Linked DNA regions of Pelodiscus sinensis. The protein of the gene in region 1 interacts with the protein of each later gene in a pairwise test. Links are inferred from orthologs where the notes say so. Each region holds a gene or a part of one and is shown on either strand. Other genes may lie near its edges.

Region 1 (7,622 bases):
ATGCCACCACAGAGGTCCTGGATTTCAGTCTCTTTCCTAGCAACCTAAATTTGGCCTCCAGGACATTTCTCCTACCTTTCCCTACGTCATTGGTACCTACATGTACCACGACCACCGGCTCCTCCCCAGCACTACACATAAGTCTATCTAGATGCCTCGAGAGATCCGCAACCTTCGCACCAGGCAGGCAAGTGACCATACGGTTCTCCTGGTCATCACAAACCCATCTATCTATGTTTCTAATGATTGAATCACCCACTACTAACACCTGCCTCTTCCTAACAACTGACATTCCCTCCCCCTCAGAGGTATCCTCAGTGCGAGAGGATGCCGCAACACCCTCTGGAAGTAGGGTCCCAACTATGGGATGGTTTCCCTCTGTTTCCACGGAATGCTCTGTTCCCTTGAGACTTTCATCCTCTTTAAGAGCACTGGGGCTCTCAACCTGGGACAGTACTACAGTGGGACAGTACTACAGTGTCCCGGAAAGTCTCATCAACATATCTCTCTATGGAAAGCTCTCAGTAACAGAATAGGAAGGTTATGAAAACAAATGTGAGGAGGAAGCAGCTGAATAAAATGGGAGATGAAATGCTGTCTAATTGAAAAATGAATGGAATAAATTAGATTGGTCTTAAAACACAAATATTTTTCTACTAGATAATGTGAGTACTTGGGGAGCAATGCCAGGAGGGAGGTTCAGCCTTTTCCATCTCTGTTCCCACTAATGAAGATCCTCTGCTATTTTAATTCTAACTTCCCTGACATAAAGCTGACCTTAAATATCCTATGCTATTGTAGTCCTGAGCCTCCATCTCCCGCCCATCTACACACAGCTTTATCAGTTCATCTCAGTCCTAACTTATCTATGATGTCTTTGTTGCTTTACCAAAAGACAAGATTTTTTTTCTTTTACATTTCAAATTACTGAGTCCACTCCAACCTATGCAGATGTGATCCAACAAGGTTTTAATCATATCCGCCAGTTGGACAAAGCTTTCAAAACAGTGTACCAGAGACACCGCAGAGAAATAAAGGATTTTGACCAGCACCAGTTGAAAGAGAAGCAAGAATTCCTCAGGTACAAAAAATGTGTGTGGTTTCAATTTAACATATTCTGTAATAATCTGAACACATCCAGTGATTTATTGGTGTCTGCCAAAGGTGAAACCTATTGCCTGACATTGATTTCAGAGGGTGTTGGGGAATAAGGAAATATGGGGATATTTTTGTGGTGTAACATTAGCTAATTATTCCAGAGGGATACAGAGATGTAATGTGATGTTTTACTGATGATGCTTTAGATGGAATCTGTGAGCTAATGGTCAACCAAAGGAGTTTGAGAGTATTGTTTTGTTTTGGAAAAGTGATCTTGAATTTTGTTGAGGGTAACAGGGTGATTAAGGGCACGTCTACATTGCAGGGCAAAAGCTGAATTAAGATACGCAACTTCAGCTACATCAATTGCGTAGCTGAAGTCAAAATAGCTTAATTCAGCTTTTGGCGCTATCTACACAACAGGAAGTTGAAGGAAGAACACTCTTCTTTTGACTTCCCTTATTCCTCATGAAATGAGGGTTACAGAAGTCAGAGTAAGAAGTCCACCATCTCGAAATAATTTCAATATAACGGCTTGCTGTGTAGACATGTACTTTATTTCAAAATAACACCTGTTGTTTCAAAATAATGCTGCAGTGTAGACATGCCCTAAGAAAGTTGGCTTGGAGGGGGCATTACATGTTTATGGATTTGGGGATTCAAGGGTTAATTAACATCAATTCCAAAGTGGTGGAGAAATCCACTCTTAAAATTTCTTTGATTGCTTTGGTGATTTTAGAAATCTTAGTCAAAGATAGCTTTGAACAAGTTATTTTGATTTTTTCTCTCTCGTTGTCCTTCCCATACTACAGAAAAGAGAAGCAATTGCTGTCAGAGAAAGGAGAGATGAAGAAGCTGAATCAAATGCTGACCCCTCTTCAGTTCTGACAAGACTTCAAGTCTGTCACAGAAGTGTCTTTATGCAGAAACAGCCATAAATCAAGCTGCACTCTGAGCAAACCAGAATTCAAGATTCCCCGACCATAAATTGGCATAAATGTCCATTCAGACTTTCATTTGCATCTGAAGGGTGTATTTTAGGCAGCCCACTCCAAAGCTTTCTTCATCAATTAGAACAGACAAACCTGAAAAAATGGGAAGAACTGAGTTCAAAAGTCTGACTGATTTCTAATCTCTTTGATCTGTAAAACTGGACTGGAAAAATATCACAAGATTTCAACAATAGAAGTAATATGAGGATTAAAAAAAGTCACTGGAATATTTTTAATGGTTTCATAGTTTGGTTCTGTGTCAAAGATTTGAGCTGTTTTTTATTTTGTCTGAACTGTCTTGGCCCAAGCTGAAAGGCAGTGTAGTTGAGACTCAGTGCATCGCCTCTTGCCAACAATATGTGGTAATGGAGTTGGGCTGGCTAGCTGCAGACCTTCCCAGAAAGGAGGAAAGTTGCAGAAGGCTCCTCTGTGCTGGTGAACCCTGCAATGAATCCAATCCTGTGTCGAGTTTCCAGTGTATAAAATAGAATCCCACTCATTAGTGGTATGAGATTGTATAGCACTTTACAGCTTTGAAGTTCAAGTGCTGTAGATCAACATTATCATTTTAGCAGCACTTTTGGATGAATGGTAGCCTTTCCAGCTTGGTCAACTCATCTGCCTCCTAGAAGAGCCTGTCTATAAACAGGAAAAACAGGGCAAGGTTTGTCTTTTGGGTTTTTTGTTTTTAAATGGGAGGCTAAAGCTAAGCCTTGTCTACACAGGAAAAATATCATCTTTATTGGCATAATTTAGCTATTCCAGAATAATTCCTCCCCACACTATTGGTGCTACGTCTACACTGGCCCCTTTTCCGAAAGGGGCATGCTAATTTTCAACTTCAGAATAGGGAAATCCGCGGGGAATTTAAATATCCCCCGCGGGATTTAAATAAAGATGTCCGCCGCTTTTTTCCGGCTTGGGGAAAAGGCGGAAAAAAGCGTCTAGACTGGCCCGATCCGCCGGAATGAAGCCCTTTTCCGGAGGATCTCTTATTCCTACTTCGAAGTAGGAATAAGAGATCCTCCGGAAAAGGGATTTATTCTGGCGGATCGGGCCAGTCTGGACGCTTTTTTCCGCCTTTTCCCCAAGCCGGAAAAAAGCGGCGGACATCTTTATTTAAATCCCGCGGGGGATATTTAAATCCCCCGCGGATTTCCCTATTCTGAAGTTGAAAATTAGCATGCCCCTTTCGGAAAAGGGGCCAGTGTAGACGTAGCCTTGCAGAATAAAAGTGAACTTTTATTCTGGAATAATGTCCAGATGGGGAATATCTTATTCCATCTGGAAACAACAAACTGCAGCCAATGGGAGCTGCAAGGCTATGGACATGTAAAGTAAACAAAGCTGTGCAGTCCTGCCTCCCAAGTTTAGAAAATGCTGTCTTATTCCATAAAAGCTATGTAAAGCAATTCCCCCTCCCGCCGCCCAGGGTCTTAGGCTCCTAAACCCACATTCAGGTACCTAAATACATGGCTTGATTTTTCAAAAGTGCTGAGCACTCTCACACTCCCATTTAGGAAGATTACAATTTGCTTTTTCCATGTTTCATTTTCTGACATAGCAAATAACAGACATGCTTAAATATACCTCTGCACTATTGGGGACTGAGTTTGGGATTTTTCAAAAGTGCCTTGAAAGTTATTAGGATTTGTCCTGCTTCCACTCAAGTGGCTTCAAAAATCTTATCATAACTAAAGTCAGCAGCTTTGTTATACAGCCATTCCTTTTCTATAGGGATAGGGATATATGTTATGAAAATACTAGAAGGCTGCCCTGGCATTTCTTGGGTCCTTAACTCAATTAATTTGTTTTTTGAAAAATAATATGGTGGGATGATGGATGAGGGGTTCAATATGCAGGTTGAACTGGGGAGAGAGAACTACCCCAGTCTTCTCTCAGCACAGTAGCTTGGGGTCAGACAAGAAGCGCCTCTCTAGGGCTGCTGCAGCTCCAGCGGGCACAGCCGAGGGATGGGTGCATTTCCCCTGGCTGAGCTAGGTCTAGGTTCATCTGCCTCTTGTGTTTCCTAGCCAGAGTGAGGAGAGCAGCAAACTGTATACTTTCCCTGGAAGAAAAGCAAGCAATGTTCCTGTACAAATTGGGGGGGGGGGATAAAGATCCCACCCACACTAAAGGGTGGCTTGGGGGTGGGGCAGTCTCTGGGGGGTGTGCCCCCTGCTAACTAGCCACTTTCACCTGCCTGGTGCCTCCTTCCCACCCCAGGGCCAGCAGCTGCTCTCAACCCAGCGAGAGCCAGTCAGGGCCGGGGACAGCAAGTGATGGAGAGGGCGGGGCCTCGGGGAAGGGGCGGGGCAGATCTTGGGTGTAAAAAGATTGGAGACCACTGAGAACGCTTCAGTCAGTCTCTGTCCCTCCCGCCCGACTCTACCATTCTGGGCTGTGGAAGGGGGGGGGGAGGTCCGACACCGGATACCGATTCATAGCTTGAAACTCTGTCAGGGCCGCTGTACACGGATCGTTCCATTCGTGAGCAGCATCCGGCCGGGCGGGTGTATTTTAACCCAGGCCCTCAAACAGACCAGCGTTCTCCCGGCTCCCTGCCTTCCCCTCTTCCCCAGTGGTAGAATCCAACCTCTTTCTTCCCGGTGGTAGGGTCCCTTCGTAAACAGCTGTGGACGTCGCCGCTGTCGGTGACCACTGCGCGTGCGCGAGGCAGCGTTGTCGTGTCAGAGACTGAACTCCGGGTGCGCGCGCTCCCGGGCAATCGCAGACCTTCGCCTCAGCCACTTTTGGCGGGAAAGGGAGACGCGTTTATCCCCGGCCCGTCTGCAACGAACCGCCAGTAACGGCCGGGCGGGGCAGGTGATCTGAGACTGCGAGGCAGAGAGCGGCCAGTTCAGCTAGCGTCGGATCCAGCCCGACCTCGCTGCGCCTGGCCAGAGCCCGCGTGCCCCACACAGAGAAATAGCGCTACGGCCCCTGGGCTTGAACAGGAGATCGGCCTAGCAAGGGGGCCTGGTCTAGTTAGGTTAACCTGGCCCCCGCTGTACTGACAGCTAATTTTTCCATCCACATAGCGCCTGCCTCCTGGAGAGGTGGATTAAATACAGCAACGGGGAAACCTGCTCCTAACATAGGAAGCGGCTGTATTTCACCCTCGCTGTAATGGCGCGGTTGCTGTGCTGCAGGTGTTCCCTGACAACACGTAGGATTTATTATCCTGGAGGTGTGGAACTAAATATAAAGGGGCAATTACTCTGGTTAAGACTGGAGCACAACAGAAAAGATTCACACTTTTCCCTTGTCAAGACACTCCCACCCCTCCTCTCCCAACCCCACGTTCTCTCTCAACCTTCATTTCCCATCCTCACACCTTGCTCCATATTGCTCTGTGTGCTTGGGGCCCTTATCTCAGTGTGCCAGGGAACAATAATGCATGCCACACTTGTAAAAACAAAATACAGGACTATGTAGCACTTTAAAGACTAACAAGATGGTTTATTAGATGATGAGCTTTCGTGGGCCAGACCCACTTCCTTAGATCAAATAGTGGAAGAAAATAGTCACAACCATATATATCAAAGGATACAATTAAAAAAAATGAACACATATGAAAAGGACAAATCAAATTTCAGAACAGAAGAGGGTTCTGAAATTTGATTTGTCCTTTTCATATGTGTTCATTTTTTTTAATTGTATCCTTTGGTATATATGGTTGTGACTATTTTCTTCCACTATTTGATCTGAGGAAGTGGGTCTGGCCCACGAAAGCTCATCATCTAATAAACCATCTTGTTAGTCTTTAAAGTGCTACATAGTCCTGTATTTTGTTTCAGCTACACCAGACTAACACAGCTACATTTCTATCACTATTGTAAGGACAAAACATTCTTCAAGATCAGTTCGTCTTCTGGGTGCCTTTGTGCCTGATTTTTGGAGTTGGTCTGTGTAAGTTTTTGGGTATAACTCCAAGGTGGCTGGGGGGCAGAACCACATTACTATAGCAGAAGCACTGAAAGAAAAGGGCAGTGTTTCTACTTCTTCACTTCTGAACAGGGTGCATTATAATTCCCCCTACATTCCTTGCTGGCCAGCAGAAAGATACAGTTATGGCTCTTCTTACTCTGCCAATTTTGCATTGCTATGTATCCAAAGGGGAGTAGTCACCTTGCCCTTTTGAATGCAAGTAATGCAGTGCATTTCAAAAACAAGTAGACCTGTGGTACTTTAGGATATGTCTACACAGTAACATGTATCTTGAAATAAGCTACACAATTTGAGCTATGCAAATTGTGTAGCTTATTTCAAAATAGCTTATTTTGAAATTTGGTGCTGTCTACACAGCACTAATTTAAAAATAAATTGCTATGCCTGTATCTTCGTTAATCCTTATGCAATAAGGTTTATAGGAAGCTGGAATAAGAAACACATTATTTCAAATGAATTTCCAGATAGCAGGCATGCTGTTAAGACATGCAGAACGCTAGTTTGGGATAATGGACATTATTCCAAAATAGTGCCATTGTGTAGACATACCCTTAGGCTATGTCTACACTCGCGGCTTCTTGTGTGAGTAATATGCAAATGAGGCTAAGCGTGGAATATCGCTGAGCCTCATTTGCATACCTAATGAGCCACCTTTTTTTCAGAAGAGGCTCTTGCGCAAGAAGGAGCATCTACACTGCACCTTCTTGCGCAAGAAAAACCTTCTGGCACAATGCCGTTACACCTGTTACTTTTTAGGAAGAACGGCCTTGCGCAAGAAGGTGCAGTGTAGACGCTCCTTCTTGCGCAAGAGCCTCTTCTGAAAAAAATGGTGGCTCATTAGGTATGCAAATGAGGCTCAGCGATATTCCACGCTTAGCCTCATTTGCATATTACTCACACAAGAAGCCGTGAGTGTAGACATAGCCCTAGAGACTAACTATAGAATCATGAGCTTCTTCAAATGAGCTGGAGTAGAAATAACATAAACCAAGATATATAACAAAAAAAACCAAAAAAGTACTGGTCAATTGTAGGACTGGTGCTAATTAGGCTAATGAAATGGACTGGAAGTGTCCCATTCTTAGCCTTTGATGTAAAAATGCAGTTGTTAAAGGCAGAGGAGACTGGCTTTAACATGCAACGCATTTCAAGACAGGGAAGGGATTTATTTTTAGAAAGTGCAGAGAGGGGTTTTTAACATGTCCTTTGCCTTTTACATTATGTTTTTCTTCTTCTAGTATCTGAAGACAAAGGTCTAATTAATGTTACTTCAGGAAACACTTTACCGTTTGTTAGTAGTATGTTAAAGGAAAATGTATACAGATGACTACATTTTCATCCCTGTTCAGGTGTGATGAGAGGATAGTTTCATTTGTCCATAGGAAAGAAGTTCATTGTGGTACCATATGGAGATGTTTTGGGAAAAATTAATTTACAACTCATTTTAATATTTTATTAGAAAGTAAGATAAGTTACTCCATTTTATTTTTACTTCCAAAGAACTACCTCTAAAATTACACCAGGTTTTTTTTCCCTTATTTTTTCCCATCTTCTCTAACCAGCAAGACTCACCGGGTCACA
Region 2 (7,192 bases), about 1.3 Mb from region 1:
AGTCCTACCAGAGCGGGGTGCCCATTGGACCACTAGGAAGATTTGAGGACTGGCACTGGCCCCAAGGTAAATTGAGTTTGAGACCCCTAGTGTAGAGGGAGGGGGGAGTGAGAGAGTGTGTTTTCAGGAAGGGGTGGGACCCTCCACGATGTAAAGATTAATTTGTCTGCATTGGTCCCTTTCTTTTCCTCCAGGAATTGAGCCTGGTCATATCCCTGGCTCCGTGAACATCCCCTTCTTGGATTTTCTCACAGAAGCTGGCTTTGAGAAGACTCCTCAGGCGATCCGCAGCTTATTCCAGGAGAAGAAAGTGGACCTTTCAAAGCCAGTGGTAGCCACATGTGGCTCGGGAGTCACTGCCTGCCACGTGGCCTTGGGAGCCTACCTTTGTGGCAAGCCAGAGGTGGCTATCTATGATGGTGCCTGGGTGGAGTGGTACATGCGTGCACGGCCTGGAGAAGTCATCTCTGAGGGCAAAGGCAAGACCCTCTGAAGCACTGCTTCTGCCCCTTCAGTACAGACAAATTGCCTTGAAACAAGCTCTGGGAGATGGTCTTAGCCTTTCCTGTTTTAAAATCATAGTGTGCTACTGAGTGAAGGTCTTGGGTGACAAATCTAAACATAAATGGTTCTAACGCCTTACCCTTTCCCTCCCCCCACTAATTTTTCTGGGCATGGAAGATGGCTTTTTATACCATCTTCGTGGAAGGGTGGGGTGGGGAAGCACTGATCATAGGATGGTGGGATAATTAATTGAGGCTGGATTTCTCCATGGGGATGATCTCTCCTGATTAGACACTGTGTGAGGAATATGAGTAGAGGAGCTTTTTGAGTATCTCCTCGCACGCGGACTCTTATTGGATTTGACCTCAGCCAGTATTGCATCCACCATTGTAATCCTGTTTCCTTTTTTAAGAATATATTTCAAAGATTATGTAATAAAAACACTTTTTAATATGTTTAAAGGTCTTCTCCTGTACTGAGCCTGGGACAGTACAGATCAGAGGCATCTTGCTCTGTCCCCCTCCCTGGGGACTGTTAGCCCAGCTGCGGGTGGAATTTCTGGCTCAGGTAGACATGGCCACGCTAGCTGTGATTAAGATAGTGTGCTAAAACCAGTAGTTGTGGTAGCAGGGGGGTGCAGAAAGCTGTTGTAATGAGGTGAGTTTAGTGTGTGCTTCATCCGTGGTAGGTATATTCAGTTTCCCCTGGGGAGCCCTGTAACTCCAATAAGAAAGGGACAGCATACGTCTCTGTTTGTCTAAGTCTGTTCATGTCCTGCAGCCAATAACAAGCATGCAGTTGTGTGACTTTCAGCTGCTCTGCTCCAATTCAGCATGACACTGTATGCTGTAGACAGCATTGTAGCCATGTTGGTCCCAGATTATTAGAAACAAGGTGGGCAAGGTAATAGCTTTTATTGGATCCGTTTCCCTTGGCAAGAGAGACTAACTTATACAGAGCTCTTCTTCAGGTACTTCCACTGACTTGCACAGGACTGTGCCCATGCTTAAAACTAGTTTTGTGCTTCAGTACCTTGTCCTAGGGATGAGCTACCCCTAAAGGCAGACATTTTCTCAAGGCTACTACTGAAGGTCTTGAAGCTGAAAATTGCCCCAGCAAATAATGTCGAGGTATTTGATTCAGTGTGTTCCAAAACTGAATTAATCTCTTGGTTACAGCTGTACAAGCACATTGCCATCAGTAAGTTTGATTAAAGGAAGGTTCCTGTTGGTCATAGCACCCTTTATCCTAGATTACTCTGAAGAGAGAAGTGTATGTGTGGGTGTTTGACTTCTGATTAATTCTCAGTGAGCAGCTGGGATGCATTACAAATGGTGAGTTACATGTTTACAATTTGCCCTTCCTCCTATGATGACTTCGTTCTTATGGTAGTCCAGGTCTGGGCACTAGAGCTGACAGCACCCCTCATGCTATGAATATAGACTTACCCTAGACCTGGGTTTCTCAAACTTCTGACAATGAAAATTACTAGGAGCAGGGGCCCCAACCTGAGCCCCCCTGCCATAGATGGGGAGAGAAGGGGCCAAAGATGAAGACAAAGGGCTTCGGCCTCAGGTGGGAGGCCTGTAACCTGAGCCTTGCCTGAGAGATGGGACTTTGGCTTTGACTCCAGGGCCCAGCAAGTCTAATGCTAACCCTGGCAACTAGGGATGTAGAATCCTGGTTAGGTTAACCAGTTAACAGGCCTGGGCGGGCTGGCTAAACCCATCATTGAGTGTCACGGCTGGAGCAGCCCCCTGCCGGTTGACCGGGTACCCAGGCAAGTGTGCCAGGGGCATGCTTACTGGGTAATCGGTTAACACTTTGCATCCTTCCTGATGATCATTTGAAAATGGAGTCATGACCCAATTTGGGTCCTGATCCACCATTTGAGAACTACCTCTGGTCTAGAGTAGCAGGGAGCCTAAGCCTGTGGCTTGCCTTGCTTGCCCTCCCTCTTCTCCCACTGTGGGAGGAGGCTGTGGCTTGAGCACCAGCTGACTCTCACTGTTGCTGGGGGGTGGGGAGGAGACCTGAACGTCGTGGGCCCAATCAAGGCAAGATGCAGACCTGATTGGGCTCACGGACTCTGCCTGGCAGGGGGGAAGGAAGCAGTGCCTCATGGCTCCCCATGATTCAAGGAAGTGATTCTTGCAGGCACCATCTCCTGTCGCTCCCGTTGACTGGGAATCATGGCCACTGGGAGCAACGGGGGTGGGAAGAAGGGGTAGAGAGAGATGGGGAAGGTGGTGCCTGCAGGGAGCATGAGGATCTGTGTGGAGATACTTGTAATCTCCCCCACCCCAGGAGTTGTGCCAGGTAGGTGCCCCCAGACCCATATCCCCAGCTTGCTCCTGCACCTACACTCTGCTGCAGTGGTGGGCTAAGATGGGGGTTCTCCCAAAAATGCTGTAAAAGCTCCATGGCCTCAACAACTGGTTTTCTGCTTATAAAATCCAGGGCCAGTGCTTGGGGCTAGCAAGAGTGCAACTACATGGTAATGAAGCAAAAATTGCTCAGACTTTGGCTTCAGCCCCAGGTGGTGGGGCTCAGCTTTCTGCCCTGGGCCCCAATGAGTCTACCACTGGCCCTGCTTGGTGGACCCTCCTAAAACCTGTTTGAGGCCCCCATGGGTACCTCAGTCCCTGGTTGAAAACTGCTGGCCTAGAGGCTAATTAACAGCTGAAAATAGCTAGAGGGTATATTCCAGCTATGCTATCCCCTTCCCACCCCTCCAGCAGACCCTGTACACTGGGGCCTGTAAGAGGTGTGATGTATTCTGGTGTAATAAAGTTGGGGATCTTTGCAGTGTTTTACATGAATCTTATGCGTGCCTCAGTTTCCCTGTGTGCTGTGTGGAACAAGCTGGTGGGAGACGGTTTGTTAAGGAGGCCCAGGTTTGACTTGGCCTAGCAACCAGGACCCCTGGACAATGGCCTGGAGATGGGCAACCCTAGCGACCAGTAAGCTGGTGACCAAAAAGCCCAGCTCAGCTAGGCAGTCAGCCATTTTTGACCAATGGGAAGACGTGGGGGCAGAACAGAGGCAGGAGTCTGAGACTAGTTCTTCCCCATTCTTCGGAAGCAGAAGTTGCATTGTTGCCCCTGTTGTCCTCTTGCCCTGGGCCTGCAGAGCTGGGAGTGAGGCTATTGTGAGTAAGTGGAAGATGGCCCAGGAGAGCCCCAATGCAAGGATCACAGACTTCCTCAGCGAGCTGGCAAGCTACGAGAAGAACATGGTCTGGACCATCCACAAGTACCATGTGTACAGAAAAGCAGGTTCTGTGATATCAAAATATCCAAGCAAAATAAAGGGCTGAAGTGAGAGGACCCTGGTGACCTGACCAGCAAATTCCTGCCAGTGGGGGGAAAGGATGTGTTTTCCAGGGAATTCCTTTAGGCTGGGTAACATCTGGGGAGAAATCTGTTGCCTTTATGACCCTTTTATGTAGTAAAAGGACTGAATTGCACCAGACAATGGGATAAAAAAGGTGGAATGAGGATGACCCAGGAAAAACCCCCTGAAAGGTTAATAGACATGTACCTATTCAAATTTTTATACTTCAGTGCTGCACTTTATGGCTATTACCCTGGCCAAAAATGGTCAAGTGTGCTTGCTTGCTTTTTTTTTTTTTTTTTTTTTTTTTTTTTTTTTGGCGGGAGAGTCACTCTGGGCCAATGTCAGCCTTTAGGGAGAGAAGCTACTAACATTGTTCTGTCAGATATGGATGGCCATTAATATGTCAGGTGACCTCTGGGTGAGGTAGAAGCATAATTGGATGCATAGATAAAGCTTTTGTGTTTCACCTAGCCCGGGGTTATGTGCAACTTGACTTCTCTCTTCCTTCTCAAAACCACCCCCCAGAGCAGGGCATTTAGAAGAGAGAGAGGCAGGTGCTGTTTGAATGAATTAATCCCCTGGATGGGGTGGGCATAGGGGAAAAGCCTGGGACTGAATGGATCTAGAGAAGCACATCCAGGAAAGAGGCAGGTTTAGTACAGGTGGGGGTTAGAAGTCATAAGTGATTATTACAGTAGATACCTTTCAAGAAGCCAGGGATTTGATGTTGGCCACTGGTCTGCTACCTCCAGGGGCATCCATGTAGTCTCAAAGAAAGAAATGGTCTGAACCTTCCATGAGCACCTTGCTGCACTATCAGAGAAGTGAAGGCTATGATGCGGTGTAAAAGGAGAACAGGAACCAGATCTGTCTGGTTCAGCATTGGAAGTGTTAGCCCCAACTGTTCTGTGCCCATGTGCAGGATTTTTCCTCAACCCAAAGCAACACTGTCTGCACTACCCAGAGCTGGTGTATAAGCTGCACCTTCCAAAATCCTCTCATATCCACCGCCACCAGCATTAGTGCTAATCCTCCTGGCATCTGCTGGTGCCAAAAATGACCTGGGGCTGCAGAGACAGTGAGCTATGCAAAACTACAGCTCCCAGGATTCTTGGGTGACCAATGGCAGAGATGATACAATGTGGTGATTAATATTAATAGCCTTTACCTATTGCTTCAAAGTACTCTACGGCTGTCAACTGAATAGCAGTGCCCAGAGAATGAATCTAAGGCAAGCCTATCATCCTGGCATCCCTGGAACTGTGGGGAGGGAGTTCAGCACGAGGAGCTGGCTTTTGCGGCTTGAGCCCATCTCTAGTAAAAGCAGACTAGGGATGGGCTCAGTGTAATGTCATTGTCCACAATCTTCCTTCCCCAGAGATCCCATCGCTGCCCGCACTGAGCACAAGGGACAAGCAGCCAACTCCGAGGTGGAAGGCACCGGATAAACTTCAGATCCCAGAATCCTCCAGTGCCCAACACCTGCAGTGGCGTCTCCAGCGGGGGGCCCTGGGCAGAGAGAGGGAGCGATGAGGATGGAAGGCGGGGAGGAAGCGCAGGCTGCAGAGCGGGTGTCGTACACCTGGGAGAGCCCCCCGCCGCAGCCCGCGGACGGCAGCCGGGCTAAGTGGGTGCGGCTCAATGTCGGGGGCACGGTTTTCCTCACCACCAGGCAGACCCTGTGCCGGGAGCAGAAATCTTTCCTCTGCCGCTTGTGCCAGGGGGAGGAGCTGCAGTCAGACCGGGTAAGCGGGGAGCCGGTGCCTGCTCTCCCTCCGCCCGGGGAGCGCCGACCCTGCGTGTGTGTGGGGGGCGGACAACAGCGCAGGCCCGGCTGGGAGGAGCAGATCCAGGCGGAGGAAGGTGAAGGGTCCCCGGGCAGTATCAGGAGGGAGCGGGCTGGAGAGACAGGCTGATGGACGGCGCGCACCGGCCCAGGGCAATGGAAGAGAGACCCCTCGTTAAAACACCTCCCCTCTCCCCCGGCGAGCGCGCCCCCTGCTTTCCAGCTGTGCAGAGCCCCCGGGGGTTTTGGACCGGACCCCTCTGTGGAAGGGGAGTTGTTTCTGGCTTAATAGTGGGGACCAAACAGGCCTGCCACCTTCCCTCCCCCGATAGTGTGTGGCTCAGCCTAACCCCTGCTTCCCCATCAGCTGTCTGGGACACTGCACCAGCCCCACAAGAAATGCCCCCTCTTCTCCCACGTGCCCTAGCCCCCCACAGCTACATAGGACTCAAGTCTGTGCTTTACTGTATGGGGCCATGATTACTAGCCTCCCATAAAAGAGAGAGAAGGTGAACGAGGTATGTTTTTATTGCACCAGCTTCTTTTGGTGACAGATAAGCTTCGCAGCTTACACACAGCGCTTCTCCCATTCTCCTCCTCCCAATACAGGCTGAAGTGGTAGGAGCCCTGAGCTGAGACTCCACATGGTATCTTTTTATTCTGGGATCTCCCTGGTAACCGTATAGAATAGTATATACTGTACCTTTCAGGGAATTTAGGGAAGCTGATGGGGGGCTGCCAGCCCTCCCTGTTTCCAACTCCCTGCCCCCAAAGGACAGGCTGCTTTTCCAGGAAATCCTACAAGTAATGGACAAAGCAGGCGGACAAATGACATTATAAAGGAGCATTGCACTACTTTAAATGAGAATGTGTTCTCATAGATAAGCAACGGAACAATGTTCACCAGGACAATGTTAAGTAGGAGTTACTGTACAGGAAAGGGTTAGGGATCTTCATTTCAGGGGTGAAATACCAAGGACCTAAGGCCTCAGCAGGATCAATTCAGCCATTTGCTCTTTCAAGGGAGATGCACTGAAAATACTGTGCAGTTGTTCAGCATGCATATTAGGATGGAGACCTATAACAAAAAAGTTCTGCCTGAATGTTAACAATCCCAGCACACTTTTAATTAGAGATTGGTTTAACATTCCTCTTCTCCCTGCTGTTTTGTAGTGTAATATGTGCCGGTTGGCTGCAGCCATCCACCCCAGAGATGGCTGCTTTTCTGTGGTGCCATATGAATGCAGTTTGGGAAGTGCTTTGGGATCCAAAGTTAGCTCTTGTATGCTACTTTTAACCTGTAGCTCTCAAATCAGGTTAGGAATTTTTTGATAAAATGTTTTTTCCTTAGAAAATGCCAGTTTGTCAAAATCAAAATTGTTCCTGGGAAAGGGGTCAGTTTTGACAAATTTCCTGGGGGTTTTTGGAGGTAGGGAGGGAGTTTTGGAACTGCTGAAATGTCTCATTTTGACATTTTCAAAATGAAAATAATTCTGAGCTTTGGATCAAATTTACTTTGCTTTGAAATTTAAGTTATTTTAAGAAAAAAATGTTTTAAAATAG

What was found. The genes of interacting proteins can lie anywhere in the genome.
Region 2: the proteins of DMC1 (region 1) and KCTD17 interact in binary tests that used the Homo sapiens proteins (3 or more experiments, as listed by UniProt). The two-hybrid records come from large-scale screens. The link is inferred for Pelodiscus sinensis from reciprocal best matches to the Homo sapiens genes DMC1 and KCTD17.

The regions. Positions count from the first base shown.
Region 1 is NC_134711.1:91,668,467-91,676,088, forward strand, and holds the start of DMC1 (meiotic recombination protein DMC1/LIM15 homolog), read left to right. Parts: upstream 1-4,605; 5' UTR 4,606-5,149; intron 5,150-5,796; exon of another isoform or gene 5,797-6,002; intron 6,003-7,622. UniProt on the Homo sapiens protein: Participates in meiotic recombination, specifically in homologous strand assimilation, which is required for the resolution of meiotic double-strand breaks.
Region 2 is NC_134711.1:92,999,096-93,006,287, reverse strand, and holds the start of KCTD17 (BTB/POZ domain-containing protein KCTD17), read left to right. Parts: upstream 1-4,160; 5' UTR 4,161-5,372; coding exon 5,373-5,588; intron 5,589-7,192. Other genes in the region: MPST (3-mercaptopyruvate sulfurtransferase), read left to right, coding at 195-493. UniProt on the Homo sapiens protein: Substrate-adapter for CUL3-RING ubiquitin ligase complexes which mediates the ubiquitination and subsequent proteasomal degradation of TCHP, a protein involved in ciliogenesis down-regulation.